7 linked regions of the Canis lupus familiaris genome follow. The protein of the gene in region 3 binds, or shares a complex with, the protein of the main gene of each other region. Links are inferred from orthologs where the notes say so. Each region holds a gene or a part of one and is shown on either strand. Other genes may lie near its edges. The genes, in order: ING3, MEAF6, BRD8, EPC1, ANP32E, RUVBL1 and MORF4L2.

Region 1 (4,713 bases), on a different chromosome or scaffold from region 3:
AAACAAGCAACACAGAAGAGGCAATGGTTGAGAATTTTCTACATTCACCGCAGGACACTAGTGCTGAGAGTCAGCACTCCTTTCAAATCCTAAGCATGGTTTGAACTTTTTTTTTTTTTGAATGGTAAGAAGGAAGGAAACAAAGAAATGACTATGGACCTAGATTCACCACTGAGAAACCACAGAAATATCCAAGAGATCTTAAAGGCAGCCGGAAGGAAGGAAGGAAGGAAGGAACGAAGAAGGGAGTGTAGGAGGGAGGAAACCCGAAAATCCTAGATTTTAGATAAAAGTACAGAAAGTAAACTAGGTAATCATTAGAATTGAGGTGGGTTTCCCTTGACATTCACCAACACGACAGGTGAGCATCCTGACCATGAGCGGTGGAAAAAGTCTTGGGTAGAAGAGGGCGGAAGGGAGAAAACTCAAAAATGCATCAAATGTCTCGACTCCAATTTGAAAAAAAAAAAAAAAAAAAGAAAAAAAAAGTGAAAATAGAACACTGAATGGCGAACTGAAGACACATTTCCCAGGAAAACGAACAGAGAGCTAAGGCAGGTGGGAGAGAAAGATGCTCTCGACCTGTGCTGCGTGCAGATGTTCTTAAGAAAAAGAAAACTGAGCCGTGAAGGACCGAATCCATCACGGGGCGGGGAAGGGGTCCCGGGGTAGAAGATGACCCCTCCCGCGGGTGTAGACAGCTGGGGGCGGGCTGCTTACTCAACACCGCCTGAAGTCATTCTTAGAACAGCTCATTCGACAGCAGCAAGTCTCCATCCGTTATTTCTGCTTGTTCTCTAGTTCTGCTTTTTTTTTTTTTTTTTTTTTTTTTTTTGGTGGGTGCACTTCGTGCGTTCAGCTCGATGACATCACGGTGACGACGAGCCGGACCGCGGAATAAAAGCAGGTAAAGAGCGCGTGGAGGGCGGCCACCCGTCCAGGTGCAGGAAAGCCAAGCAGGCGCCTCGTGGGTATTTTGAGCAGTCGGAGACTAAGGATGCGTTCCAGCCAGGAGTTCTGTCTTACACAATGCGGATCGCCCGAACTCCGCTGGCCGTTCCGGCGCTGGAACACCTTCCACCTGCCCCGCCCGCCTGGAAACCCGCGACTCCCAGCCGCCGGGGCCACCGAGGCACGCCGGCCGGGAACAGGTGGAAAGTTGCTCCTACTTGGGTTCCGCGGGCGCCTACAACTCCCGTCATGCCCCGCGCCGGCATCAACAAATAAACAGAGGCACCGCATTTCGGATTCCGCGGCGCACGGGGCGCAAGGCCGCCTGGTCTTCGTAGTTGCCACGCCGGTAACCGCCGGGCGCGCCGATCCTCGCCGTGGGGGGGAACCGGACTACACTTCCCACAAAGCCGCGCGGGCGGACTCCGGCCGGCTGACGTCATCGCCCCAGCCGGCCAATGACGGCTCCGGGCGGCAGTGAGGCAAGCGCCGTCAGGCGCCAAAGTGGTTTTTTTTTTTCTTTCTTTTTTTTTTTTTTTTTTTTTTTCCGCCGAAGCCGAGCGGGTGCTGCTAGCGGAGGCGCCATATTGGAAGGGACAAAACTCCGGCGACAGCGAGTGACACAAATAAACCCCTGGACCCCCTCGTTGCCCCAGCTCTAAGGGCCGCGATGTTGTACCTAGAGGACTATCTGGAAAGTGAGTGGGCGGCGCTGGCGGGGGCCGCCTGGGGGACCCGCGGGCGGGCGGGCGCGCGAGCGGCCGGGCGGGCGGGATGGCGGGAGGGAGGGGGAGGCGGGGGATGTTTCTTTCTCACGGTAACTGGCAGCCGGGCTGTGGGCTGCCGGCTCCTTCGCCCCCCCCACGCACGCACGCACGCACGCAGTGACGTCAGCGCGCCCTTCGCCGTTGGCCCCGCCCCGCTGACGGCCTCTCCCTTTGACAGTGATTGAGCAGCTGCCCATGGACCTGCGGGACCGCTTCACGGAGATGCGCGAGATGGACCTGCAGGTGCAGAGTAAGTCGGCGGTTCGCCCGCCCGGCCGCGCGCGGTCGGGGCCAGACCTTCCACCGACGTCGTCGCCTCTGCTCTCTGACTCTCCTCCGGCTCACGGGCTAGTGCATAAGGAGTCGTTTAAAAAAAAAAAAAAAAAAAAAACAAACGCCAAAAAAACCCCCCCAAAACCATAAAACCACACACACACATACACAAGGCAGTGCCGCATCTTGCCTCTTGCTGTCCACGCCGCTTCCCCCTTTGCTTTTACCCGAGGAGGAGGCGCTGGGGCCCGCGTGTGTGTTTCTTTCCCGAATTCAAGACTGGGATAAAAGTTTCTGTGCCTCGGGGAGGACGTAGACACATGCTTTTAACGCACGTCGGTGTAGGTGTGGAGAAGATGGTGGTTTCTGGCCCGAGCCCTTGCGTCCGGAACGTAGATTTCGGCATTTAGACTTCTGCTGAAGTTGGTTCTGCTCAGAATTTTCTGCAGAGCGGAAAACCCAGCAGCCTGGGGGTTGGTGTGGCTCTTTAGTGACCCCGCTGAACTTGGAATGTCGAGTCTTGCAAAGCCGCACCTTGCAGGATGCATTCCCACCCGCCAGCAGGATGATGCTATTCCCCCCCCACCCCCCCCATGAAAACGAGTGAGGAAAATAGACCTTCCTGTAAAGCTGCTTATCTGTTGCAATAAAAGTGATGACTTCTCATCGATCAGTGGTAGCTTGGTAGTCTGGTTCCTTCCCCCTACCCACCCACCCCCCCAAAAAAAATTAACCGTTGTTCTTTCATAGAGCAGTATTTGGTTTATCCGATTGTTTTGTTTTGTTTTGTTTTTGTGAAGGATTTGACTCAAAGCAAGGAAAGAGTCAGTGCCTTGGAAACGAGGAGGTCAACACTTGGAGCAAAATCACAGTTAAAACGAGTACGAATTTACGCCTGTCGTGCTCTGAAAGAACCTCACAGGCCTTCTCCCCCTTTTATGAAATGAATGTAATACAGCCGTTCCGGTTCTCTTGCAGGGATACCATACTGTGAACTACGAGTGCGGAATGAATTACACGTTACACGATTATTTTATTTTATTTTTTTTTTACGTTACATGATTAAAATGTACAATGGGGTGTGCGCTTAAGCCCGGATGTCACCCTCTCTGTAGATGTAGGCTTGGCTGCCAGCAGCGCATCTCGTCTAAATTGATCTAATGTTTTTCTAATACTGTGGATGACATGAGATAATGCAAATAGCCCGTTGACCTAGGTCCTGAAGACCGTCCAACAGATGGTCTTGGAGGCTGTTGGAGCCTGAAGATGGCTCCAACAGAGCAGGGGCTGCCATGGTTACTGACCTGCACTGAGTAGTTTTTATCCAGAAATCAATTAAAGTTGCATTTGTTACTTTAAACAAAACAAAACAAAACAAAAAAACTTGTGCAGTTGATATTAATGGCTGGCCTTCATGCGGTCTGTCCTCAAGAAAATACGTGCCTTGATCCCATTTATTCTAGCTGTGGTTAGGCTATCTACGTAAAATGTTTCTCATGCCACTAGGTTTTTTTTTTTTTGTCCTCGAAAAGTAGCGGTGGAGGAGGATCTGGGTTTGGGGGTATGACTGGGGGGAAAAGGGTATCATGGAAAGAAATCAGAGACCCAGCATCCCTGAGGATCCTGCAGCTCCTGAGGGCCTGTCCTTTCCCCCGTGCTTCCCCACCCCACACTCGCACCCCACGCTTTCATACCCACGGGTGATGAATATAGGTTCCTGAGCCTCTGGTGCGTTCCATGTGGCCATGCGGCATACAAGGTGATGGGCTACGGAAGCCTTCTTTATGTTCAGTGGGTCATAGTGTAGGAGTCTGAACTGTGTGTTTCTTTAGCTTGCCCACAAAATTCATTTTGACTGTCATGTAGTTGAAATGCTAAAGTAGCGTTTTCTATGGGACTGAGCACAGATCTTGATGTCAGATAGATCCGAGTTCGTATTAGAGTTTTGCTGACTTACTCTTTGACCTTGACCGCATTACCACTTCTGAGGGGTTTTCCTTGTCTATAGAATGGAGATCATCTGAGGATTTAAAATAACACAGTTAAACTAGAATTTATAGTATCTGATACAAAGCAGAAGTTCACGAAAAGGTGACTTATTTTTGCTTCGTTATCATTACAAATTTTAAATTCTCTTGTGATTTGTAATTGGATTATACAAATGAGAGGTTTTATTTTTTTATGTTTTTTAAAGATTTTCTTTAAAATCTTTGAGAGAGAGCACACGTGGGTGCAGGCACACGAGCAGGGGAGGGGCAGAGGGAGAGAGAGAAGCAGCCTCCCCCGCTGAGCAGGGAGCCGACTGGGGTTGGGGGCACCCAGTCCCAGGACCCTGAGGTCATGACCTGAGCCAAAGGCAGGTGCTTAACCAGCTGAGCCACTCAGGCGCCCCAGATGAGAGGTTTTATACACTTGCATTTTATAACAACTAGAATTTTCTAAAGTTAATAGATCCTATAGATTGATAAAAGAGACTTCTTTGTAAAACAAGTTAGAAATTGCTTATTTAAACAAAGGAAAAATTTTTTTAAAAAGTAACTAAGACTTCTTAGGATCTTGAAAAACCTATTGTATTATTGCCCTGAAAAATCTCCAGACGGTTTTCCTTCACTTATATAGCAACAGAATCATTTTTTTTCACTTTTCTTTTTTTAGCAGACATGGAATTAGATGATTATTCTTGGCACACACTTGGGAAAAACTTATCTAGAATAAATAATAC
Region 2 (4,637 bases), on a different chromosome or scaffold from region 3:
CCTCTAAAAATTTTAAGTATAGATATGGGTATGTGGGGATCCCTGGGTGGCTCAGTGGTTGAGCACCTGCCTTCGGCCCACGGCATGACCCCAGGGTCTCGGGATCGAGTCCCATGTCAGGCTCCCTGCAAGGAGCCTGCTTCTCCCTCTGCCTGTGTCTCTCATGAATAAATAAATAAAATCTTTAAAAAAAAAGTATAAATATGTGTATGTTTATATACATTAGAGAGAAAGCAAATGTGGCAACATGTTAACAACTGATGAAAGCAGGTCACGGGCATCAAGTGTGCACAGTACTATTTCAATGTCAAACCTGAAGATGTTTAAAACGTTTAGACAGTTCTAAATAGTTATCACTAAATTGTAATATGGTCAGCACACAGGGGTGGCAAATACTGTAAAGGTGAAACTCATGACTGATTAAAAAAAAAAAAAAGGGAAACACTAAAAAAGTGATACGTCAGGTACTGTCATTCGCTGTGTTTGGTTTATGCCTCACACCACCCTGTACCACCGGCCCAACTTCCCCTGTTTCCCAGATGTAGGATTTGTCCACAATTACTCAGTGAGGCAGAGGCTGAGCCAGAGTCCACGTTGGACCCCAGATGGCTTTTCACACCACCGCTTTACTGCCGCCTCCCTCCAAAGCTGCTACCAAGAACGTAGATAATCGGAAAAATAAATAACGACTGGGGGCACAATACCAACAGGCCTGTGACACTCACTTTTGGTTGGTCAGGTACCGATCCCAGCCGCGGATGATATTGCCGTACATCTGAGTGTCTTCCAGGTAGCTTCCTTCAAAAGCATAGATCTGTCTCTCCAAGTTCGCCAGTGTTTCCTGGGAGACGGGGGAAAAAACAAGGACATGGATGGATAATACCTTTTAAATGCAAACGTTAATTCCGACCAGACCAGACCCTTAGTATTAGCCCGAGACCTTCGAGGTCCCCTATAGTAGAGACCATCCAGGGAGGGGAAGGGAGACCAGCTGTGGGGAGAGGAAGGCACTTTTAGGTTAACACTGTGCAAACCTTAGACCTGTCTTGCTGGAGCCCTTTGGGAATAGAAGGGAATGAAGAGAGCCTGTGTCTTGCCCCCCCCCCCCCAAAATGTGCAAAATTTTGCATATGCTTCAGAGGGTTCATGGCAGGGCAGCTGTCAAGAGTTTCCCCCCATCCCTGGGTGGCTCAGCAGTTTGGCGCCTGCCATTGGCCGAGGGTGCGATCCTGGGGTCCCGGGATAGAGTCCCGCGATGGGCTCCCTGCATGGAGCCTGCTTCTCCCTCTCTCATAAACAAATTTAAAAAATAAAAAAATAAAAAAATCTTAAAAGAGTCCCTCCCCGCCCCCCAAAAAATGTGCAAGATTTTGCATATGCTTCGGAGGGCTCCTGGCAGGCCAGCTGTCAGCAGGACTTGAGCAGCCTCCACGCCCACGCACAAAGGCGCTGCCGCTGCTGGCGCGAAAGGGGTGAGCAGCCCCCCAGCCGCAGCCCCGGCTGTCAGTTGTCATGGAAACCTGCAAGGGCAGCCGCAGGTGAGCCCGCCTCGGCGGTGCGCGCGTCGCGGGGAGGGGGCCCGGAGCCTGGGGGAGCCAGGGCACAGCCTGAGTTGCCGGCCGGGTCGCGGGCCTCACCTGCCGCCCCCCCCCGCGGAGCATCGGAGGCACCCCCCCCCCCCCCCGAGCCCCGGGACCTAGGGCCTTACCTGCCCCCCCCCGGAGCATCGGAGGCACCCCCCCCCAGCCCCGAGACCTCGGCCTTACCTGCCCCCCCCCACGGAGCATCGGAGGCACACCCCCCCCCCAGCCCCGGGACCTCGGCCTCACCTGCCCCCCAGCATCGCAGGCCCCCCCGAGCCCCGGGACCTCGGCCTCACCTGCCCCCCAACATCGCAGGCCCCCCCGAGCCCCGGGACCTCGGCCTCACCTGCCCCCCCAGCATCGCAGGCCCCCCCCCCCCGAGCCCCGGGACCTCGGCCTCACCTGTCCCCCAGCATCGCAGGCCCCCCCGAGCCCCGGGACCTCGGCCTCACCTGCTCCCCCAGCATCGCAGGCCCCCCCGAGCCCCGGACCTCGGCCTCACCTGCCCCCCCAGCATCGCAGGCCCCCCCGAGCCCGGGGACCTCGGCCTCACCTGCTCCCCCAGCATCGCAGGCCCCCCCGAGCCCCGGACCTCGGCCTCACCTGCCCCCCAGCATCGCAGGCCCCCCCGAGCCCCGGACCTCGGCCTCACCTGCTCCCCCAGCATCGCAAGCCCCCCCGAGCCCCGGGACCTCGGCCTCACCTGCCCTCCAACATCGCAGGCCCCCCCGAGCCCCGGGACCTCGGCCTCACCTGCCCCCCAGCATCGCAGGCCCCCCTGAGCCCCGGGACCTCGGCCTCACCTGCCCCCCAGCATCGCAGGCCCCCCCGAGCCCCGGACCTCGGCCTCACCTGCCCCCCAGCATCGCAGGCCCCCCCGAGCCCCGGACCTCGGCCTCACCTGCCCCCCAGCATCGCAGGCCCCCCCGAGCCCCGGGACCTCGGCCTCACCTGCTCCCCCAGCATCGCAGGCCCCCCCGAGCCCCGGGACCTCGGCCTCACCTGCTCCCCCAGCATCGCAAGCCCCCCTGAGCCCCGGGACCTCGGCCTCACCTGCCCCCCAGCATCGCAGGCCCCCCCGAGCCCCGGACCTCGGCCTCACCTGCCCCCCAGCATCGCAGGCCCCCCCGGAGCCCCCCTCCCAGCGCACCGCCCCCGAGCCCCGGGTCCGCGGGAGGCCCAGCGCACAGCCGCCCCCGCCCTGCCCCCGGCCCCGCCGCCAGCCGGGCCGCTCGGGCCGCTCGGGCCGCGGAAGGCGCAGCCGCCCCCAGGCCTCCGGGCTCCGGGCTCCGGGCTCCGCGCTCCCGGCCGCGGCGCCGGGGGAGTAACGGCCGCGGCGCGATCGGGCCGGGGCCTGGGGCCGGGGGCGGGCGCCGGGCCCCGGAGGGCCGCCCCGCCGCCGGCGCCTCACCGCCAGCTCCTGCTTCCGCTTCACCAGCTCCGCCAGCTCCCGCCGGGTGTCCGGGATCTGCGGCGGCGCCGCCTTGTTGTGCATCGCCATGTTGGGCTGAGGCGGCGGCGGCGGCGGGCTGGGGGCGGGCCCTGCGCGCCCTCGCCGCCAGGGGGCGCCCGCGCCGCACTGCGCCTGCGCGCGGGGTCTCCGGGTCTCCGGGGCGCGCGCCGGCCCCGCCCCCTCCCGCCGGGGCCCCGCCCAGGTCTCCGCCCTCCTCCCGCCCCGCGGAGCCGGGTCCCGAGGGTGCGGCCGGGTGTCGCCCCGGTGTAGACCTCGCCGCGGCCCCTCGGAGGGCAGCGCGCGCAGGGCCGAGGTCACGACCCGCCGGGGCCGACTCCCCCGCGGTCCAGGCCGGGCCCGCGAAGTGCAGGTAGTAAGAGGGCTTACCGGCGCCTTGGCACCTTCCAGGGTCCTGCAATGTCCCCATCACGACCCGGATTTTTTTTTTTTTTTTTTCATTTTTCATCCCCCCCCACCCCCCACCCCCGCCTTGCTTGGAAGTCTGGGCTTCTACAGCCTGTGGGTCGGTGATCTTCCCCTGCTTCGGAGACATTCTCATCTTTAGGTATTCCTGGGCCTCACTTTCCTCTCCTTCTGGAACTCAAATCAAATGTAATAATCCTTTATTATTGTTTTTCACCCACTGGTTTTTTTTTTGTTTTGTTTTGTTTTTTTTTTTGGTCTCTCTGCTGCATTCTGGATAACTTCTCTCCTGTGTTGATCTTGTAACCTGAAATCTTGCTGAACTCCCTTATAATTCTGGGAGGGTTTTATTGCAGATTCCTTGATTTTTTATTTTTTGATTCTTTGATTTTTTTTTTACGTGATCTCATTTGCAAATAAAGGTGGTTGATTTTTTTTTTTTTTTTCCTTTCCAATCTGTATGCTTATTTCTTTTTCTTGCCTTACTGTGCTGGCCAGGACTTCCAGTTCTACATTAAGAGAGGTCACAGTCTTTCACCATTAAGTACGTTAGCTATACTGTTTTTCTAGATGCTCTTTATTAAGTTGAGAAAGTTCCCCCTCTACTTCTGGCTTATTGAGAGTTTTTTTTTTTTAATTTTTATTTATTTATGATAGTCACACAGAGAGAGAGAGAGGCAGAGACACAGGCAATGGGAGAAGCAGGCTCCATGCACCGGGAGCCCGATGTGGGATTCGATCCCGGGTCTCCAGGATCGCGCCCTGGGCCAAAGGCAGGCGCCAAACCGCTGCGCCACCCAGGGATCCCGGGCCACCCAGGGATCCCTTATTGAGAGTTTTTATCATGAATGGGTATTGAACTTTGTCAGATGCTTTTTTCTATGCCATTGACACAATCATTTTTTCTCTAGTGTCTTGGGATAGTGGATTATCTAGATTTATTTCCATTATGAACCAGTTTTGCATATCTGGGCTGAACCTCACTTGGCCAGTGTGTATAATTCTTTATATATATATTTTTAAGATTTATTTATTCAGAGAGAGAGAGAGAGAGAGGCAGAGACACAGGCAGAGGGAGAAGCAGGCTCCATGCAGGGAGCCCAACACAGGACTTGACCCCAGGTCCCCAGGATTACACCCCCCGCTGCAGGCGGCGCTAAACCGCTGGGCCACCGGGG
Region 3 (4,042 bases):
TTCTGGCCCTCAACTCTAAAACCAGTGTAATAAGGACACTGTAAAATAATGTCTTGAAGTCATAATGTTAAAACCTTCAAAGAGTGTGGATGTCACCTCCCAGGACTCCAAAAAATGAATTGCAACAGATATTCATAAGGCAAAACAAAAACAAAAGATATTCATAAGGCAGTCCTGCATATGGAAATTCTACTTCCTATGACCCTGGGCTCTTAATTAATTAATTAATTTTTTTTGGGGGGGGGCTCTTAATTTAGACTGAGATCTTAGAACACTTGGTCAAAAAGTATTCAGCACATATTTTGTATTATTAGCACCAAGTGCTACAGACACAGCAATTAGTTTCTGCCACTGTGGAGCTTGCATTTTAGTGAACAATATTAAGAGTAGTAGAAATATGTATGGGCAAGCACTCTCTTAGAAAGTTGAGACTTTTTTATTTTTTTTTTTAAGATTTTATTTATTTATTCATGAGAGACACAGAGAAAGAGAGGCAGAGACACAGGCAGAGGGAGCCCGATGCAGGACTTGATCCCGGGACTCCAGGACCATGCCCTGGGCTGAAGGCTAAACCACTGAGCCACCCAGGGATCCCTGAGACTCAACTTTGGAAATAATGGCTTCCCATTACCTCAGAGAGAAAATGGAGGAGATTCTGGCGGCTGACTTGCTCTGCCTCTTCCTGAGATTCCTCACTGCCTCCGTCCCCCACAAGCAGCTCACTAGGTTCTCTCCCTGGGCTGCTTTCCTCTAGTTCCTCAGCCCCTGGCTCCTCAGTTTCTCTCCAGCTGCCCACATCAAGATCCAGACTGGAATCCCATGAACTGAAGAGGGACCTGCAGTCGTTGCTCAGCTCAGAGTCATTGGGATAATAATCTGGCTCCGAATCGAACCAAACCCACTCATGCCCCATCTGTAAATACACAGAAAAATGCATTAAGTTCACTCATATTACAATTTCTTAGGCATTTTCATGTCTAAAGTTCAGTAGAAAGATAAGAGATCAGAAACTTCTTTCTACTCATCATCACACATAATAAAAGCTAGCTGAAGGGAGACATCAGGGGATGAAATCTTTGTCATTGGGAATAAAATGAAAAAGCCCCAAGTCAAACAGTTGTTTTTGTTTTTAGATTTTATTTATTTATTCAGGGGAGGCACAGAGAGAGAGAGAGGCAGAGACACAGGCAGAGGGAGAAGCAGGCTCCATGCAGGGAGCCTGACGTGGGACTCAATCCCAGGACCCTGGGATCAGGCCCTGAGCTGAAGGCAGGCACTTAAACTGCTGAGCCACCCAGGGATCCAAGTCAAACAGTATAAAAGAGGTATTACCCGGTAATTTTTTCTTGGGTTTCCTCACACTCCAAAAGAAAAGAACAGGAGCATATCTAGCTCCTCTAGCATAGTAGTTCCTCTATCCCAAATCACCCTTAAACTCAACTGGAAGACAATACATTTGAGGAACAAGAGCTATTTTGCTCAGTGTGTAGACATCTATCAACCACTAAGTCCTCAAAATATACTTTAAAATTATCTGTGGCATCCTTCTGGTCATATCCAACTCACTTCGCAGAATGAGAACTGTATCAAGTTTTAAAAGTATCTTCCTTTCCTCTCATTACACTACACGATCCTGTTTTTTTTACCCCTTTCTCCTATTTTTAAAGTAGGCTCAACACCTAGCATGGAGCCCAATTCATGTCCCTGGGATTAAGACCTGGGCTGAAATCAAGAGTTGGATGCTTAACTCTCTGAGCCTGAGAGGACTGCTCTTTTTCCTTTTACAAGTTTCAGTGTTCTTGCTTGTCCTTTGCTTCCTCATTAATACTCACTTAAAATAAGGTCTACGTTTTGAGGTTTCAACTTTGTTCCCTACTGGAATAGTTCTCAGATCTCCACCTTTACTTCTTATGTGCATTCTGGTCTCATTTTTCCATGCACCCAAAGGACTATTCCCTTTAGGTGCCCTACCATCTGCTTCAACTCAACATTTCTAACTAAAATCACTTCTGTTTCTATCTTAAAAAGCATTCGCTTTCTCAAATTCCCTTATCCCCCTTATCAACACTATTTTCCCAATTCTCTTTACTTCTCTTATATTCAGGAAGTAACCCCACTTCCCAATTTTCATCCACAATAATTTTTCTCAAAACCCATCCTCTGTTCTTGAATAAAATGTCATAGCCCCCTGGTTTCTGGATTTTTAATCCAATCTACCGTTAAGCATACCCGTCATGTTCTCTGTCAACCCAAACTCTATCTGCATCCTTTAATGGAACTCCTCTACAATCTTCTCCCATTTTTAGGGCTTCACTGCTTGTATCACATGCAAGTTTGTAGACTGCTTTGGGAATATATTGTACTTCCTTAAAGTAGTCTCCACTCCCAGAGTGGCACTCATTGAGGGGCTTGAACCTGAGATCAAGGCCTGAGCTGAGATCAAGAGTCAGATGCTTAACCGACTGAGCTACCTAGGTGCTCCTATGCTATAATTACTAATCTTTAACTCCTGGATTGACTGAATTCCTATCACCCCGTAAGACTATCTGCTACTGCCTTAGCATCCTAACAAGCTTCAGAGTTTAAGCCAGAAAGATCTGTGACTTATATTTCATAAACATATCTTTTTCAAGAAGGCTCAACATATGAGACAATACCCTATTAATGTCCATTTCTTTATAATAAAAGGCTCATGACTAGTTCATTTCACACAATTTTTATTTAGTAACAAAAACTGAAACTCAAGTAATAAATTTGCTAACTCTGAAACTGATTTTGCCTTCAAGTAGCAATGAATTCTAAAATACACAAGAACCCTACATAAAGGATGAGGAAGGAAATAGTGCTATACTGTCCTAGATATACCATCTGCAAAGATAGGACACTAAGTAGGACAAATGTCTGAGATAAAGGTCAGTGCTACTTATGTCCACGTTCTAATCTTCATTAAAAGCAATGCCATGAACAGAACTCTGAAAACATTTAAGTTTTCCCAAACATTCCAGAAAAACATATCATCCTCATTGCACAATGCAGCACTTTAGAACATTAGTTATAATTTCAATATTGATTACTTACCTTCTCCAAGCTGAACAGTTCATATCATAATACCACTTCCCCCCCAATCATCTTATTTCCACAGACAAAACAATTATCGCACAGAAAAAAAACCACAAGTTTTTCACACACACAAACACAGAACACACCAAAGGCTAAAGTTTTCTTTTCTCAGTTTATTGTGTATACATATACACTTCACAGGTGTTTTGTTTTTGTTTTAAAAAGTCTGTACACTTCACAAGACAGTACAAACTAGCTACAATCTGCTAGCTACGCATTAGGACATTAACACAGCCCATGATTTTTGCCCTAAAACAGGCAATTGTGCTACTTCAACTCTCTGAGAGAGTTTCCCCAGCTCATGTCACATGGCCCAGATGCCTCCTCTTCTGTATCTTCCACTTCTGGAACTGGGCCGACAAGCCCAAGCTCTTTCTTGTTTACTTCTACTTCAGGTTCAGCTCAATGAGGATACTCTGAAGCTTCACTTTTTCATCTTCATATCTGCTTCAATGGCACAGCGGCGCCCCCTGGTGCCCCCATCCTAGATGATAGGCAGACAAAGAAATTGAGCATGAGTGAGTTGATTAGAACCTGAGAGAGAAGTTTCAACAATGCTGGGGGATTTGGTTTCTTGGGGGAAGGAAGAGAATCAGCAGAAAAATCCAGGAAATAAGAGGTACAGATCTGTCTTCCCACAGAGTGGGCTAAAAATTCCTGGCAGTAGTTTGTGAGAGGAAATGTAGGACAGAGTATTTTGCTCCTGCCCACCACAGAGGTCCCTGGGGTTTCATCTGGGGTCCCAAAGAATGACTATTAGTCATCCCACCCAGGCCCTAAACTGTGTTCAAAGAAACAGAAAGAGTAAAAGAAAGGTGGGAGGGTCAGAAAGGGCAGTGGATAGTGATATTCTTGGCTAACATACCTGTCCAGCTTGTTGGTCCCTATAAGAAAGGCCTTTCCTGCAGACTGACCCTGGCAC
Region 4 (4,042 bases), on a different chromosome or scaffold from region 3:
ATGTTATTTATATAAACTTTATAAGTAATTCCATCTTAAAATACTAACAGCGACTAATGTTAGTATAGTATAAAATATAAATGACATGGAATTTTGGCTACTATTGATATCAATGTAATGACTGGGGGGAAAGCACTAAATAAAATAAATAATTTCAGTGTCCAGACAATTCTAAAGTAATTAAAAACTGCAATTAAGACTTGAAAATGAAAGAAACATACGTATAAAGCATTCATTAAAAACTACATCCTGGGATGCCTGAGTGGCTTAGCAGTTGAGTGTCTGCCTTTGGCTCAGGACATGATCCCGGGATCTATGTGGGATCGAGTCCCACACTGGGCTCCTTTTGGGGAGACTGCTTTTTCCTTTGCCTGTGTCTCTGCCTCTTTCTCTCTCTCTCTCATGAATAAGTAAATAAAATCTTTAAGAAACAAACAAAAAAAACCCTCTACATCCTCAGGTTTCTTCCTGAAAGCACCTTGATACTATGTTCTGCCTTTTTTCCCCTACCTATACAGGATTATCTTTCTTTTTCTTCACTTTTATGTGTTCTGTAATTCCTTCCTGCCTCCCACACAAATTCTCACACAAGGCATCTAGAGTGTACAGGGGGTACTATCATGTTTAAACAAAAGAGTGATTAGATCCTGAAAAACTGGGTGTCAACGTCAGACCATGCATGGATCCTGGAGCCTTTTTAAAAAAATATTTTATTCATTCATTCATTCATTCATTCATTTGAGAGACAGAGAGAGAGAGAATGAGTGCACATGAGCAGGGGGAGGGGCAGAGGGACAGGGCTCAATCTTATGACCTGAGCTGAAACCCAGAGTCAGATGCTTAACCCAGTGAGCCACCCAGGGACCCCTTCTAGAGTGTTTTCACTGAGAAGTTAAACAACCTAGTGTACTAATTACATGACATTTCTTAGCCTATTCAGTCCTTTCTTCTAATATGTGCCAGAACTTCTGAAACAACTTTTTGTAATCTCTTTTAGTATTTTAGTCAAAAAAATCATTTAAGAACAGAAAATGGAAACAAATGAGCTATTTAGAAGGATTCCCTCTCTAAAGCTCTAGATTTGATTACCCTACTGTCTTTGTCCCTACTGTACCTATGCTAGGAATACAGAAATAGTTACCTTCCACCACGCCCAACCCGTCTTCGTGTAAATCCAATACACCTCTGGGGTACAGTGAGGGTGGTTAAGCAGTATCTATATCGTACATCCCCTAATCCTCCATCTTTAGGACTAGTCCAAGGCCAGTTGCCAGTTTGGTCTAAGTGAGGCTAAAAACAAAAAACAAACAAAAAAATTATTTTATTTTGTCAGTTAAAGGCAAACAACTTATTATTTAAAAAAGAGAACCTGAAACTTACAGCATAGTACTGACAGCCTGCTTTCCTACGGAAAGCAAAAGGACCATCAGGATCATTTTCTTCTTCAGCTTCCGAAGAGCCAGACAAGACCTTTAAAATAAAATGAAGTGGGTCAAAACATGTGACTTCCTATGTCACTCCTTCCTTCTCCTCTATGCTCATAGAGAAATTTTTATCTTTACCTGGGAGAGAGGTTCTTCATCTGAGCTGGGAAAGTCATACTGATTTAAATCTTTAGCATTAAAGACGGGCAGTGCAGCAGGACTCGTCTGTTGAGGAGTAGCAGCAGCAGACGATGGTAAGACTTTGGGCTTCTTTTCATATTTACGTTTAGGTCGGATAAGATCGGCTTTATCTTGCTGCAATAAAGTCGTATGTTAATCAAACACTAGAAACCATGTTCAACAAACCTGCAGTTTGGGGTATGCTTTAAAAACAGGATTAGAGCTATAATGAAGTCATTCGCACTCAGAAGAGATCTAAGACGCCTATGTTTTGTCATCTTATATTGTAAAGTATTACAGGTTGGTTTCTGTGAAACATTGACATGTTCTTACAACCTAAACATCATCTCATAAAATATTTTGTTTCATTTAAAGTAAAAGAAGAGAGGTTCTTCAGCTTCTGAAATCCTGTAACTACAGTTAGTATTTATCATTGGTTCCTGTACCTTTTCCTAAATTTTCTATGAAAATTCTAGGAGAAAATAAAAAGGGCGGGGGGTGGGGGGAGGTCCTAGTCTTTATTCTAAAGAGTTAACAAATCCATTTTGGGAAAATAATAAAGCAAACAATCTTAATCTTATACACACACAAAGCACCTCAGATAACTCCTAATATGTAGGTGTCACAAAAATAAAGGGAAGTAAAGATTTGGCAGCTAAACAACAAAGGCTTTCTGGAGTGAATCTAGGCAGTTTTAGATGATACAGAGATGAAATCATTAAACAGGGACAACACAAGGATAAAATACAGAAGCAAGAGTGATTGAGCTGATAGTGCACGTTAGAAATATGTGTGCAGGTAAGAGCAAAGGCTAATTAAAGTATGAAGTGTATGACAGGTAAGAAAGGTTACAGGTAAAAATACCTGTTGGAAAGAAAAAGATCACGGCAAGTATCATGGCTGTGTACAGATACTAAATGTCTGTATCAAGTTTTATGTAGTTTATGGCATTACAGTTTTTTGGGGGAAAAGTTAATTCTTAAAGAGTTCATCTATACAGTATCTCTCTTTACTATTCCTACTGTTGTATTAACAGGTTAGTCTTGAATCAAAAGCGGACTTTGCAGCATAGTTCATGGTAGGGTTTATATGTATTTTTCTTTTTCACTCTAATGATAAAACAACATTCTATTACCAGCTACTATTATCATAAAAATTTTTATCACCTTATTTGCTTTGAATTCCTTCACATCCATTGCTTCCTGATGTTTAAACTGACTGCTATTAGTGATCGGGATGATGGGGATGGCATAAGTAGGTTTCATTGGCTGTCTCTGGGCCATAACCTCAGACACGATCTCTCCATTATAGTCACCCAAATTATACCTGAAATTATAGAAAAGAAAGCTGCAAAAATTAAAGTTAGTTCTGTAAATATTTAGGACTATTAAAGCCTGAGATACGATTATAGACACTGAGTAGACTGAAGGCAATATTAAACTTTGATTACTTGCTGAATGCTAATTTAAAATGAAGATTACATGATTCCTTCGGTTTCTTCCGTTACTTTTTGGCTTATAGCTTTACCTTTGCACCATAAATAGATAACTGTGGGGAAAAAAACAAAGGTTCAAATTTTAACTTACCAATTTTGGTGAAAGATTTGGTGGAGATATTGAAATTAATGCCTAAAATGGTGAAGAACTTTCTGCTAATTTGAATTGCCTGTACTATATAAAACTAATTTTCCTTAGATGAATTATGAGAAATTTAATAGTGGTTTTCTTTGGAGATAGTGACTAGGAAATAGGGAAGTGAGGCTTGAAGTTTTCATTGTGTATCTTGTGCCAAATCGTTGAGTGTTAAAATTATGGGCCTCTTCCCCTCCCTTCTTTATACTTCTGTTAAAAAACCCAGTAGGTGTTTAAAAAAAAAAAAAAATCAGTACCATCTGGTGAGTAAATGAAAAACTTTATAACTGACAAATATTCTCTCCCTCCCAACATTGCACTCAAACTCAAATAAGGACAAAAGAATAAGATTATACCTGGCATATTTTAATTTTACCGAGCCCTGTCTGTCACTTTTAAAGAAAATAAAGAGAGGAACAGATGTAAAATTATGCAAAGTATATCATATCACACATTTAATAATCTCTACTTATTATTAAAGGATGGTATTTCTAGGGTTAATTCATTAGGAACCATACTACAATACACATAATACTAACGGTATGATACAGCCGACCCTATTAAAGTATACTTTACCTCTTTTCCATAATTTCCAGTGTTAAGTGCAATAGCTCCCTTTTACTCTTTTCTCTTCTTTTTATCATCTCTAGAATAGTAACAGCCCGACTGAGATCTCGACGCAGTTTAAGCATTTTTTCATAAGAGGCTTCATCATTTTTGCGATTCTGAAAATATGAAGTTGCTTTTTTAATGTCAATAAAATTTCCAACTAGTGGCATTCTGAACATAGCTATTGATATATAAGAA
Region 5 (4,042 bases), on a different chromosome or scaffold from region 3:
AAACCCACATCAGGCTCCCTCTCCCTCTCCCACTGCTTGTGCTCTATCATATATATATATATATATAATTTTTTTTTTTTAATAAAAAGGAACATAGGAACACCTGGGTGGCTCAGTTGAGCATTTGCCTTTGGCTCAGGGTGTGATCCTGGGGTCCTGGGATCGAGTCCTGCACTGGGCTCCCCAGAGGAAGTCTACTTCTCCACTTCTCCCTCTGCCTACATCTCTGCCTTTCTCTGTGTGTCTCTCATTCTCAATAGCTAATTGCTTCTCCAGATTTTTAAACAAAATATGGGGACACTTGGGTGGCTTATTGGTTGAGCGTCTGCCTTTGACGCAGGGTGTGATCCCAGAGTCCTGGGATCGAGTCCCATATCAAGCTCCCTCCATGGAGCCTGCTCCTCCCTCTGCCTATGTCTCTGCTTCTCTCACTCTCTCTGTGTCTCTCATGAATAAATGAATAAAATCTTTAAATATATATATATATGGTTACATTAACTGATTCACATTTTTAAGCCTTTTTTTAAATTGAAATATAGTTGACACACGATGTCACCTTAGTTTCAGGTGTACAACAGGGTGACTCAACAAGTCTTTACCTAAAGCTATGCTCACTGCCAAGTATAGCCATCATCTAAGCCTTTAGTTTTTAATATCATTTTAGATAATATCCCTCAATAAAAACTCTGCTTTCACCAAAGGCTTATTCAGTAGAAACTATGGTCTCTTCCTAACTAATGGGAAATCCATGTTTCCTCACTATACTATGTATAGTACAGGAGCACCACTATTTCCAATTCTTCTAAAGCCTCCACCCCCATTTTTAATGAAGTGTACTACACAAACATAAAGTCCATCTTTTTACATATTAATTCCTTACCTCTGAAGAGTAACTGAAATAAAAAGAATACTCAAACCAAAAATAGCTAATCAAATCCCATTTCTATCTCCTTCTACTTTCTTTCTTGAATCTTGATAGTCTCGGAAGCTTCTACTGACTCTCACCTTCTAAACATAAGGTTACAACACAACTAATTAAAAATATTAAAAACAGGGAGCCCCAGTGGCCCAGTGGTTTAGAGCCGCCTTCGACCTGGGGTATGATCCTGGAGACCTGGGATGGAATCCCACGTCAGGCTCCCTGTTTGGAGCCTGCTTCTCCCTCTGCCTGTGTCTCTGCCTCTCTCTCTCTCTCTCTCTCTGTGTGTGTGTGTCTCCCATGAATGAATAAATAAAATCTTAAAAAAAATTAAAAAATAAAATAAAATGGTATCAGAGAAAAATTATCACTGATCAGGGATATTATCTAACCAATGTAAAAGTCCTTAGGAGAACAAATAAGAATACTAATAATTTCTAGTCTAAATTAGAGATATATTTTTTTCGGCTTTATTTATTTATTCATAGAGACACAGAGAGAGAAAGGCAGAGACACAGGCAGAGGGAGAAGCAGGCTCCATGCAGGGAACCCGACGCGGGACTCGATCCCAGTTCTCCAGGATCACACCCCGGGCTGCAGGCAGCGCCAAACCACTGTGCCACCGGGGCTGCCCTAAGTAAGAGATATTTTTAATAAAAAACTCTGAATTATGCAAACAAACTCAGTAATTTAAAAACATTAGGAGGAAATAGTAATTCCCAGGGGCAAAAGATCATTTATTCAAGTCAACTGACACTTCCTGTGAGCTTACTATGTCCCTGTTAATGTACTAGACACTGAGATATAAAGACAGATGACCCTCCCTTTATGGAACTCGCCATCTAGTAGAAAGTAGCCAAGTAAACAAGTTTTTACAAAAGTATCTATGAGCAAGAGAAGACTAACCAAGATTCAAAGGTAACGAAGGGGGATGCCTGGATGGCTCAGCAGTTGAGCATCTGCCTTCGGCTCAGGTCCTGATCCTGGAATCCGGGATCGAGTCCCACACTGGGCTCCTTGCGGAGAACCTGCTTCTCCCTCTGCCTATATCTCTGCCTCTCTCTCTCTCTCTCTGTTTTTCTCATAAATAAAATCTTAAAAAAAAAAAAAAAAAGGTAATGAAGGAAGGAGTATAAAAAATTATAGATAAAGTTTCAATAATGAGGCAACTCCAGAACTGAGTCATGATTTGGGTGGTAGTCATACAAGTATACACATAAGTAAAATGTGAACTTGTACATAAAATCCGTGCACTTTACAGGCTTTAACTATATTTATGTTTACCTCAGTTAAAAAAAAAAGCATTCATCAGAGAGCATGAGTAGCAAGTCATTTCAGATTAAGAGTAAACAATGTATCTTCAGACAGAAAGGCAAGAAACAGCTTAGTGTGAGGATTTAATTTAAAATTGAGGGGGATCCCTGGGTGGCGCAGCGGTTTAGCGCCTGCCTTTGGCCCAGGGCGCGATCCTGGAGACCCGGGATCGAATCCCACATCGGGCTCCCGGTGCATGGAGCCTGCTTCTCCCTCTGCCTGTGTCTCTGCCTCTCTCTCTCTCTGTGTGGCTATCATAAATAAATAAAAATTTTTAAAAATAAAATAAAATAGAATAAAATAAATAAAATAAAATAAAATAAAATAAAATAAAATAAAATAAAATAAAATAAAATAAAATAAAATAAAATAATAAAATAAAATAAAATAAATAAAATAAAATAAAATAAAATAAAATAAAATAAAATAAAATAAATAAAATAAAATTGAGGGAGAAGAGGCTAGAGAGGCAAACAGGGACTAGATAGTGATGGGTCTTGTATATATTTTGGTGGCAACAGGGAAACATTAAATTGTTTCAAGCAGGGCAGTGATATGATCACATTTGCATTCAGACTAAGCAAGCAAGCACAGACTGTGAAGGATACACCTAAGTGGTGACACTGTATTTAAGAGGCCATTTGGAAAACTACAACAAAACCATAAACAAAAAATAATTAGAGGGAAAGTGTTGCTGAGGGCCTACGATGTGCCAGGGACTAGATAATTTACCTATATTCTCTTGTTAAACCCTGAAAAGAGCCTAAGAGGTTGATATTATTTTCAGTTCTATAAATGCAGAAGCTGAAGCTCAGAAACTTTTGTAAAATGTTTCCATGAACCCTGCTGCTCTGGGCAGAATGGATTTTCAAGATACCTAGGTGGTAAAACCATAGGTGCTTATGATGATCTGTATACAGTTTTGTTTTTTTTTAATATTTTATTTATTTATTCATGAGAGACACACAGAGAGAGGCAGAGACACAGGCAGAGGGAGAAGTAGGCTCCATGCAGGGAACCCGACGTGGGACTCGATCCCAGGTCTCCAGGATCACACCCTGGGCTGAAGGCAGCGCTAAACCGCTGAGCCACCCAGGCTGCCCTAGATACAGTTTGAGCCAGGGGACAGTAGGAAAAATGACAGATAGACACGCTCAGACCTGCAAGTTAGTAACAATTTTCAGATTTCTTCACAACTGAACTATTTATAGACCTTGGCTTTATGCCTAAATAATTACTTTATTTAGTAATAAAGAAATGCCTATTCACCTGGATTTCTTCTTTCATTAAATATGATAGGCCCACTTCCTCTTCTCCCTCTCCCAATTCCGAGCCCGCTTCATCCTCATCCTCATCCTCATCCTCCTCTTCTTCCTCCTCTTCTTCTTCATATTCTTCAGGTGGACCAGCTTCATCTTCTTCCTCTTCATCATCTTCATCTCCATCTTTAAAAATATTTTAAAAGATGAGTGAGTGGCTGAGCAAATGTTTCTTGCTAGTACTTTAAGCCTATCTGCCCTTGCCCCAATCACTTCAAACTCTAAAGCCAATGGGAAGGTGGAAACTATCTCAGGGATATTTTCTTTTTTTAAGATTTTCCTTTTACAGGGGGTGCCTGGGTGGCTCAGATGGTTAAGTGTCCAACTCTTGATTTCAGTTCAGGTCATGGTCTCAGGCTCTGCCCTCAAGTAAGGAGGTTTGCTTGACTCTCTCCCTTTGCCCCTCTCCCCACTTGTTCACCTGTGTGCGCTCGCTCGCTCTCTAAATAAATAAATAAATCTTAAAAAAAAAAAAAAAAGATTTCCCTTT
Region 6 (4,042 bases), on a different chromosome or scaffold from region 3:
GCTAGCATGAGGATAGAAATTAACCTATGTAAGGTCGCCCAAGGCCAGCCTATCTGCCCTTACATTTGCCCTCTCCCAACTGAATGACCAAATCACACCGCACTGTAACCCTAGAGCCCACATGGGAGGCCCTCAGATTCCGTAATGTGGTTGCTGTTGCCTCTGGTGCCATGATGGAATGAGGCTGATGCATGAACTATCTACCTGTGAAGACAAGCTACTTTGGCAGGTTTCTCTCAAAATGAACATGATCTCCCTTCATCTCCATCTTGACTTATTACATTATGGGTTTAAAGTGATCCCAGAGGCGGGATCCCTGGGTGGTGCAGCGGTTTGGCGCCTGCCTTTGGCCCAGGGCGCGATCCTGGAGACCCGCGATCGAATCCCACGTCGGGCTCCCGGTGCATGGAACCTGCTTCTCCCTCTGCCTGTGTCTCTGCCTCTCTCTCTCTCTCTGTATGTGACTATCATAAATAAATAAAAATTTAAAAAAAAAAAAAGTGATCCCAGAGGAAAACATGAACCCAGATGGAAGGTGGAAAGGCCTTAAGGCTGGCAAAGAGCCACCCTACCTGATGACACAGTTGCCTCGGTTGGATGCAAAGATGACGATGGGGGCGATGGAAGATTCCAGGGCCCGGTGCAGGTAGGTGAAGCACTCTATGTCCAGCATGTGGACCTCATCAACAAAGAGTACACCTGGAACCAGCTCAGCAATGCCTTGATCAATGTACTTATTCACCACCTTGTTAATCTCCCCTCGAAGTTTGTCTAGGAGATAGTGAGAGGAGACAAGTATAGTCAGGTGGGGAAGTGGTCCCCTTTTCTTCTCTCCCCCAACCGAATATGATCCTAACTCAAGTGTGGAGCCCACTTGTACTGCTAACTATACGACCCAGGCAGGTTATGTCCCCACTTCAGTGTTATCATCCGGAAATAGGAATATAATCACCACATAGAAGTCACACAACCGGTAGCTTCCCCTGCTGATATGTTAAGTTTGTAAGTGGCTTTTATAGTTTTGCATGTCTTCACAAGGGCACACTCCCCAGCTGCCTTATTACTCACACCAACCCATTTAGTGCCCTGTGACATCGCAGAGACACAGAAGTTGAGGAGCCCTGTGTGAAATGAGTTTTCATATGCAAATTTTCCTGTTCTGCGCTAAGTGACCCTTTCTTTTGGCCCTATGTGACAAAGCTTAGGTTAATTAACTTTCAATCAAGTGCCTAGATGAAGAACAGGGTGTGTGCAGAATCTTCTCTGGAAGGAAAACTGTGAGGAATGCAGGTTCTGAGGAAAGGTCCAACCTCAGAGTTCTAGAGGGACGGGTCTCACAAGAGTTACATAAGACCATCTAAGGTCACAGTTCTCATTTTCCAAACCAGCTCCTGATTAGCATCAGGGGGGAGCTGCTCGCAAACACAGAACACGAAGATCTGATGCTGCATTGTCCACTAAACTCATGAGGCAGGGATGGTCAAAAGAGAACTCATGGTTAAAACTGTGAAAACACAGAAACTGCTCTTGGAGACTCTACTAGACAGGTCTCAGATCACTCCACTGGCTAACATGAAACAAAAAACAGAGGCTTTAATGTTTAACATTTTAAGGTGACAGAATTATAGGTAATACTTAGAAAAAAAGAGGGATGTACCAGTTGGGAAGAGAAGCAGGGTAAACTAAAGGTCCACAAGGGAACAGCGACATTCCTGCCAAGCTCTGGGACATGCCCAGGAAGCTGAGCCAGGCAGGCTGGGAGCTGCTTTGCGGCTGTAGGGCAAGAAGGCCAAGTACCAAGGTGGTGGAATTTGCTGTGCTCAGGAGCAGTCTGGCGGGAGTTCTCCTGCACAGCTAGGGCAATACCATCCATGTTTCTTGGACCTCGAAAGGACCAGAGGTTTTGGCAGCCTCCATCTTCAAAGATGAGTGCAAGGATACTGAATGCATTCAAGAGGATGCACTAGCACTCTGGGCTGGAAGCACACAGTATGCTTTATTTACAGCTGTCTAAAACAGCCACCGACTGCCAGGATAAAGCCAGGCTCTGAAAAGGAGAACGAACCTGTCCTAAGGCATTTCCTCAGGTCTGGGGATTCACTCAAAAAGCCTCACACACGGCAGCCTGGGTGGCTCAACAGTTTAGCACTGCCTTCAGCCCAGGTGTGATCCTGGAGACCCGGGATCGGGTCCCACATCAGGTTCCCAGCATGAGGCCTGCCTGTGTCTCTGCCCCTCCTCTCTCTCTGTGTGTGTCTCTCATGAATAAATAAAATCTTAAAAAAAAAAAAAAAAAAAGCCTCACACAGTACATCAGAATCCAGGGCTCTAGGGTTCTGGTTCTTGCTCACAGGCCTATTTCTCTTACCTGTGATTTCTGTCTTCTTTGGCTTCATTAACTGGCCCATCATGGACAGGATGTCTTGCCCTCCCTGCAAAACAAAAGATTCCCAGAGTCAGTCCAACTTTCTAAGGCAGCTGCAAAAGTCTCACTACCACCACCCCCATCACACTGTTCTTACTATCAGCTGGACACGGGGTCCTAGGTGTGGAGACCCCAGGCACCCTCACTGGAAAACGTGAGGAACTCTCAACACGGAGGAAGTTTTAAGAGGTTCCCCTTGGACTGCAAGAATGAGCACAATCCCTTCGTGGGAAGTACCAGTTCTGTGGGGCCTACCCCAATCTCCTTCTTCAGCCATATCCTTTGCCGATCCTGTATTCCCTGAGTAGCCACATAGGACCGTACTCTTCTCTGAACACCCATGTTCTTTTATGATTCAATGCTTTTGCATATTCTAGTCCACCTGCCAGGAAGCACGGTGTCTTTTCCAGGAATCTCTAGTTATCCATCCAAGTTCAAGTCAAACACCCTCATGGGGCATCTGGCCCTTCACTCTGCTGATGCTCCAGTTCCCTTGGGGACGAATGGACTGTTGAGGGAAGTGTAAGGACGTACTTATCTCTGTTCCTGCATCTCCTGTCTCCAGACTCGACTGCACAGTCACATTAATCCCATCCTGGTCTAGAGCTGCTTGGTCGGGGAAGCCAATCCTACAGAACAGCAGGCTGCTAACAGGCTCACCACCTGCTGCACCCTCCTGCCAGCCCTTCCCAGTGCAGTCAGCAAGAAGAGGTGCTCTTTTGTCACCTGCCTAGCATTTTGTGATCCTGTTTTGCCAGGTGCTGGGTCACAGAGGTGCTCACTAAATGTTTAGTTGTAAAATGTAGCAGATGTTTCCTGAGAAACTACATCTGATCCTACAGGGTAGGCACTATTTGCCCTCTTCACAGAGAAGGAAACTCGAAGCCAAAGAGCCCTAAATCACAGAAAACTCAGGGAGGCAAAGCAACTAATGGACCAAGCTCATCAGTGTCGGAATGACACAATCCCCGACTTCCAACTCTCAGCCAAACACTCCAACCAAGGCGAAAGCTCCCAGGAGGCTGCTTTGGGGACAGCTGTTCCACACAGAGGGACCTGCTGGTCCAAGACAGTTCTTCAGCAATGTCTTGGCCAATGCTCGAAGGGGCAAAACACCCAAGGATCGAATTTCAAGTAAGAAAGCCTATTCCCTGCTAGTAAAGAGGAGGACTCTTCCAGGATGAAGAGGAAATCAAACTGAAAGACTACCAGCAGGGAAGACTAGGGTTTTAAAATCACACATTTTGCAGAGGTGTCACATAGTCATACTGTTCTTCTCCCACATTTTACTAGTCAAGGTGTTAAGTTTTCATCTTGCCAGCATGAGGAACAGACACAAATCCTGCTCAAAGCTAAAACACTAAAGAGTTTGCTAGAACAGGGGGAAAGGCACAGCTTTGTCGGGCTTTCTGAAATCCTGCAAAGGGCTCAAAGAACACTCCTGCCCTACACCATTAACACCCAGAGAATCCCAGGCTTGAGCCCGCTGCTTGGAGGGAAGCCACAGAAGAAGCTGGCTAACTCACGGCCAGAGGCTTGGCTGGGATAAGAAACAATACACATGAAATCATCTGTGACTAGAGCATTTGAATTGGAACAAAGGAGTCCCTCAGTAGC
Region 7 (4,658 bases), on a different chromosome or scaffold from region 3:
CTGCTGGGGATTTACCCCCGAAGATACAGATGCAGTGAAACGCCGGGACACCTGCACCTCGATGTTTCTAGCAGCAATGTCCACAATAGCCAAATGGTGGAAGGAGCCTCAGTGTCCATCGAAAGATGAATGGATAAAGAAGATATGGTCTATGTATACAATGGAATATTACTCAGCCATTAGAAACGACAAATACCCACCATTTGCTTATACACGGTTGGAACTCAAGGGTATTATGCTGAGTGAAATAAGTCAATCGGAGAAGGACAAACATTATATGGTCTCATTCATTTGGGGAATATAAAAAATAGTGAAAGGGTATAAAGGGGAAAGGAGAAGAAATGAGTGGGAAATATCAGAAAGGGAGACAGAACATGAGAGACTCCTAACTCTGGGAAACGAACTAGGGCTGGTAGAAAGGGAGGTGGGCGGGGGCTGGGGGTGACTGGGTGACGGGCACTGAGGGGGGCACTTGATGAGATGAGCACTGGGTGTTGTGCTATATGTTGGCAAATTGAACTCCAATAAAAAAAATAGATAAATAAATAAATAAATATAAAAACAAATCTCGGCCCTCACCCCTCTGTGTGTGCGTGTGCACATGCATGCATGCACACAAGTGTATATGATTGATAATTTAAAAATATTAATTTTTGTTTTTTTGAAGTTTATTTATTCACCCATCTAATAAGGAATTTGTGAGGAATAAAAGAATATCCATGTATAGGATATGACACAGGATCTAAAATATAGAAAGCATGCAAAAACCTAAGTATCAGTGAACATAAATCGTCTACTCAAGGTCTCACAGCTAGTAAGCCGGGAATTAAAATTAAGTCTCTAACTCCAAAGACATAACAAAGTGTAGCAGTACCACTACAAAAAATAGGGTGCAAACACACTTATTTAATAAAAATTTGAAGAGAAAAAGATCAGTTTTCAATATCAGGGTCCAAGTTCTTATCTGTCTTTATTGACTAAATATCCACCTACATTTTCCACTGGGGAGTGTTGTTAGCATTGGAAAAGATGCACAGAAAAGATTCAGATCTTCATGGGCATCAGTGCCTGGGGTCATTGATCAATTCTGACCCCACAAAAAGGCAAGGAAGAAAGGAAAGAGGGCTGGAGGGGAGAATTTTTTTAAAGAAGAAATAAGGAAAAACATATGAATCTAGAGCTATAGTTCTCTGTCTGGTTGGGCTAATTACAAATGTTAATTTGATTTTTCCTTAGCAATGAAAGATATACATGACCTCTATACATTGTGGAATTCAACAAATCAGAAAGGGGGGTAAAGGGATCCCTGGGTGGCGCAGCGGTTTAGCGCCTGCCTTTGGCCCAGGGCGCGATCCTGGAGACCCGGGATCGAATCCCACATCGGGCTCCTGGTGCATGGAGCGGGCTTCTCCCTCTGCCTGTGTCTCTGCCTCTCTCTCTCTCTCTCTCTCTGTGACTATCATAAATAAATAAAAATTTTTTAAAAAAATCTAAAAAAAAGAAAGGGGGGGAAAAATCCCAGGATTCCAGGGACTAACAGCCAATCCTTTGCTGGGATTTGGTGGCATCTAGTGGCAGATTCAGGAGGTATAAACCTCACCCAGAGAACTTTCTGGAAAACTAGCTGAGTGCTACTTGCCTGAAGGGCACTGTGCTTGGAGATCAAAACAAAAAGGTAAGAGAGCCTCAGCTTCTACAGAAATTGAGAGTCTCTATGTGTGTGTGTGTATGTGTATATATATATATATACATATATATATATATAGAGAGAGAGAGAGAGAGAGAGAGAGAAACTGAAGGGGAAGGTTATCACATACAGATATTTGAGGCAGAAAATTGTGTTTGTGCCAACAGAATGGCAGGCAACGTTGGAGGGGGGAGAGAGGATACTAGGGAACCGAAAAAAAAAGCTGCTCTTTGGAATTGCTAAGATGGGAACGTTTGACTCTTACCTTTTGGACGGCTATGGTTTAAAACAGGATTTTGGCAAGAGAAAAAACGTGGGAAGCAAGTGTATTTTTACGGTCTGAAATTAAATCGCTAGGAGAGGTAAAAATATTCCTGGCAAATGCTCTTTATTGGTTATGGTCGCCTTGACTTATTTTATTTTTCATTAGAACAATTTTCAAACTTCTAGAAAAGTAGAGAATATTCTGTACACAGCGCGCGTGCACGCGCACATGCACATACGCATGTGCGCGCGCATACACGCACGCCCGGATTCCAGGACACACGCCGACCCCAACGCTGTCTCTCAACGCTAGGGGCGCACGCCTGCGCACAGACACCACCTCCAACGCCACGAGGGCTGCCGCGCGCACATCCCAATCTCAAGGCCACGGGAGCTCGCCCGCGCACACAGAGGCCCCAACACCACGCCCACACACACCCACCACCCCAGCTTGTACACACATTAAAACACCCGCTCTGTTTTCTTTTTCACTCCGATAGTTGCGCAAGAGGTTGGGGGCGTGGCCCCAAATTTGACCTCGCGCTTCCCCACTCGCGGGAACCTTAGCTCATTTCCGCCCATCCTGTTTCCGCAGGCCACGTAGGCACTTCCTTTCCCAGTGGAAAAAAAAAACCCATAATGCCTCCCTGCAGGGGAAAAAAAAAAAAAAAAAAACTCTGGCCAGGGGAACTCTGGGTCGTGAAAATAGGCCACGTGAACACCCTGCCCTATAGACTTATGACCCAACGGCTGTCGCGCTTTTGAAGGGCGGGCTAAGAACCTAAGAGGGCAAGCGTCATTGGCCAGAGCCTTCTCTAAAGCAGAAAGATGATTGGTTTGCTTCAAGCCTTAACCGTGAAGAAGCAGGTTGCTAGCACCCGCCTTTACTGCGGCGAAGAGTCATCGCTGACGTGTTAGGCTTCGTCCAATCATTTGGTTATGGAACATTCTAAAACTTAGACAAGACGATTATCATTGGCTGGAGACCATAAGCCCGCCTCCAGGGTGACGTGTCTGCCTATGGATATCAGTTGCCAGAGAAACCTGGCTTTACTATGGCGGTTGGAGGGACGGCAGTGATCACACGTCGGCTGCTGGAAAGAACTGGATTCTCGTTTCAGGTTTCGGGGTGGGGGTGGGGTGAAAGGGTTTATGGTTTATTTCTATCGTCGCATATATTGACAATATTAAGTAGTGCCTTCACAGTTGGGCAGAGCTGCTTTCAAATTCCTACTCGCCAACGCCCAGCTTGGGCTGGCTCCTGTTCTTTCAGTGTCTCGGTTTCCATGTTTGTAAAATGGTGATAGTGATAGTATCTACCTCAGAGACGTGTACCTCAGAGGCTTGTACTGTGTATTAGTGCGTATAAGACGCTTAATACCAATCCTGGTTCCGAAAGATATTCGCTATTATTGTGGAGTGAAAAACCCGCGTAATAGAATGAGAAAAAAAACAAATTGTGTAAATTTGTTCATTACAGTGCTTTTTCTGCTCATCAGATTCTTCTTATAAGAAATTTGAGCTTTAAAAGAGACATATCAATCTTTGCCGATGAAATAATTTACTATTTGAGAATTAGCTCAAAATAGCGGGGATTGGAATTTTCCATATTGAAAAGTTTAAAAGGCGGGGGGTGGGGGAGATGGAGAACGAGAGCGATGAGGAGATGAACCACATGCGATGAGTAGGCCTTGTTTGGATCCTGATTTGAACACACCAACTTAAAAACACTTTAAGATGCATCGGGAAAATTTGAAAATGGATTTGATGTGTTTTTTTTTTTAAGGAATTGAAGTCAATTTTTTAGACGTTATAATGGCATTAATGGTTGTGTTTTCAAATTATCTTTATTTTGTAGAGGTATATAGGAAAATATTTGTGGATTAAGTAATAAAATGTCGGAGAATGACTTCAAATACGTTGATGACTGGGATTTGCTTCAAGATAATCTCAGCGGTAGAGGGAAGTGGGGAAGGGTATAGATGAAACAAAACTGGCCCTAAGTTAATAATTGTTTGAGCTAAGTGATGGGGCATATGAGGTTCCTTTTATTATTCCGTCATCCTTGGTATGTGTTTGACATTTTCTGTAATAAAATACATAAAATCAGCTATTCAGTGAGCTTAAAAAAAATCGGAGTGGGGGGAGCAGTGGGTGGGGTTATAGATAAAGCAAGATGGCCTTCAGTTGGTAATTGTTGAAGCTGGGTGATTGGTATAGGTTTATAATACTCTTCCTTCTACATTTTTATTCATTTGAAATTATCCTTATTAAAAAGTATAAAAATACAGTTACTTTATCAAAAATAAGGATAAATGTACAATAAATTTGAAAATATAACCACAAAAAAGGAAAAAGACACATTTGTACATTATTTATCAGCAGTGGTGTCCTTTGTGTGTGATAAAATGCATTGGTTGATGGAGAAAAAAAGGATCTCATATCTTTTTACTTTATGTCCTTTTCTGTCCCCTTCTTTGACCTTCCAGGCCAACATCAGAAAAGCTAAGTTTGCTGTATAATAAGGATCAGAAGATCTGATCCTGATTGCAGAACCATCCCTGATTACAGAATCTGAGTAAGTGCCTCCCTTCTCCTGGTCTCAATTTTCAAATAAGATAATTCCGCATAACCTTCCTAACTGTCCAGGAATATTTTGAAGATTAATAAGCCCCTATCTGGGAAAGCACTCTAAATTCTAAGAAGG

What was found.
Region 1: BRD8 (region 3) and ING3 share a complex: the UniProt entries of both Homo sapiens proteins name them as parts of the SWR1-like complex. The link is inferred for Canis lupus familiaris from reciprocal best matches to the Homo sapiens genes BRD8 and ING3.
Region 2: BRD8 (region 3) and MEAF6 share a complex: the UniProt entries of both Homo sapiens proteins name them as parts of the nuA4 histone acetyltransferase complex. The link is inferred for Canis lupus familiaris from reciprocal best matches to the Homo sapiens genes BRD8 and MEAF6.
Region 4: BRD8 (region 3) and EPC1 share a complex: the UniProt entries of both Homo sapiens proteins name them as parts of the nuA4-related complex. The link is inferred for Canis lupus familiaris from reciprocal best matches to the Homo sapiens genes BRD8 and EPC1.
Region 5: BRD8 (region 3) and ANP32E share a complex: the UniProt entries of both Homo sapiens proteins name them as parts of the SWR1-like complex. The link is inferred for Canis lupus familiaris from reciprocal best matches to the Homo sapiens genes BRD8 and ANP32E.
Region 6: BRD8 (region 3) and RUVBL1 share a complex: the UniProt entries of both Homo sapiens proteins name them as parts of the nuA4-related complex. The link is inferred for Canis lupus familiaris from reciprocal best matches to the Homo sapiens genes BRD8 and RUVBL1.
Region 7: BRD8 (region 3) and MORF4L2 share a complex: the UniProt entries of both Homo sapiens proteins name them as parts of the nuA4 histone acetyltransferase complex. The link is inferred for Canis lupus familiaris from reciprocal best matches to the Homo sapiens genes BRD8 and MORF4L2.

The regions. Positions count from the first base shown.
Region 1 is NC_049235.1:59,197,461-59,202,173, forward strand, and holds the start of ING3 (inhibitor of growth protein 3), read left to right. Parts: upstream 1-1,559; 5' UTR 1,560-1,621; coding exon 1,622-1,649; intron 1,650-1,896; coding exon 1,897-1,968; intron 1,969-4,713. UniProt on the Homo sapiens protein: Component of the NuA4 histone acetyltransferase (HAT) complex which is involved in transcriptional activation of select genes principally by acetylation of nucleosomal histones H4 and H2A.
Region 2 is NC_049236.1:5,015,736-5,020,372, reverse strand, and holds the start of MEAF6 (chromatin modification-related protein MEAF6), read right to left. Parts: upstream 3,146-4,637; 5' UTR 3,085-3,145; coding exon 2,995-3,084; intron 842-2,994; coding exon 726-841; intron 1-725.
Region 3 is NC_049232.1:25,848,883-25,852,924, forward strand, and holds part of BRD8 (bromodomain-containing protein 8), read right to left. Parts: exon of another isoform or gene 3,986-4,042; intron 3,605-3,985; exon of another isoform or gene 3,214-3,604; intron 914-3,213; coding exon 632-913; intron 1-631. UniProt on the Homo sapiens protein: May act as a coactivator during transcriptional activation by hormone-activated nuclear receptors (NR). Isoform 2 stimulates transcriptional activation by AR/DHTR, ESR1/NR3A1, RXRA/NR2B1 and THRB/ERBA2.
Region 4 is NC_049223.1:12,483,608-12,487,649, reverse strand, and holds part of EPC1 (enhancer of polycomb homolog 1), read right to left. Parts: intron 3,961-4,042; coding exon 3,812-3,960; intron 2,931-3,811; coding exon 2,771-2,930; intron 1,740-2,770; coding exon 1,563-1,739; intron 1,471-1,562; coding exon 1,381-1,470; intron 1,291-1,380; coding exon 1,142-1,290; intron 1-1,141. UniProt on the Homo sapiens protein: Component of the NuA4 histone acetyltransferase (HAT) complex, a multiprotein complex involved in transcriptional activation of select genes principally by acetylation of nucleosomal histones H4 and H2A.
Region 5 is NC_049238.1:60,124,468-60,128,509, forward strand, and holds part of ANP32E (acidic leucine-rich nuclear phosphoprotein 32 family member E), read right to left. Parts: intron 3,679-4,042; coding exon 3,503-3,678; coding exon of another isoform or gene 3,473-3,502; exon of another isoform or gene 3,458-3,472; intron 1-3,457. UniProt on the Homo sapiens protein: Histone chaperone that specifically mediates the genome-wide removal of histone H2A.Z/H2AZ1 from the nucleosome: removes H2A.Z/H2AZ1 from its normal sites of deposition, especially from enhancer and insulator regions.
Region 6 is NC_049241.1:2,138,946-2,142,987, forward strand, and holds part of RUVBL1 (ruvB-like 1), read right to left. Parts: intron 2,433-4,042; coding exon 2,369-2,432; intron 772-2,368; coding exon 573-771; intron 1-572. UniProt on the Homo sapiens protein: Possesses single-stranded DNA-stimulated ATPase and ATP-dependent DNA helicase (3' to 5') activity; hexamerization is thought to be critical for ATP hydrolysis and adjacent subunits in the ring-like structure contribute to the ATPase activity.
Region 7 is NC_049260.1:77,644,726-77,649,383, reverse strand, and holds the start of MORF4L2 (mortality factor 4-like protein 2), read left to right. Parts: upstream 1-1,609; 5' UTR 1,610-1,675; intron 1,676-2,861; exon of another isoform or gene 2,862-3,072; intron 3,073-4,440; 5' UTR 4,441-4,529; intron 4,530-4,658. UniProt on the Homo sapiens protein: Component of the NuA4 histone acetyltransferase complex which is involved in transcriptional activation of select genes principally by acetylation of nucleosomal histone H4 and H2A.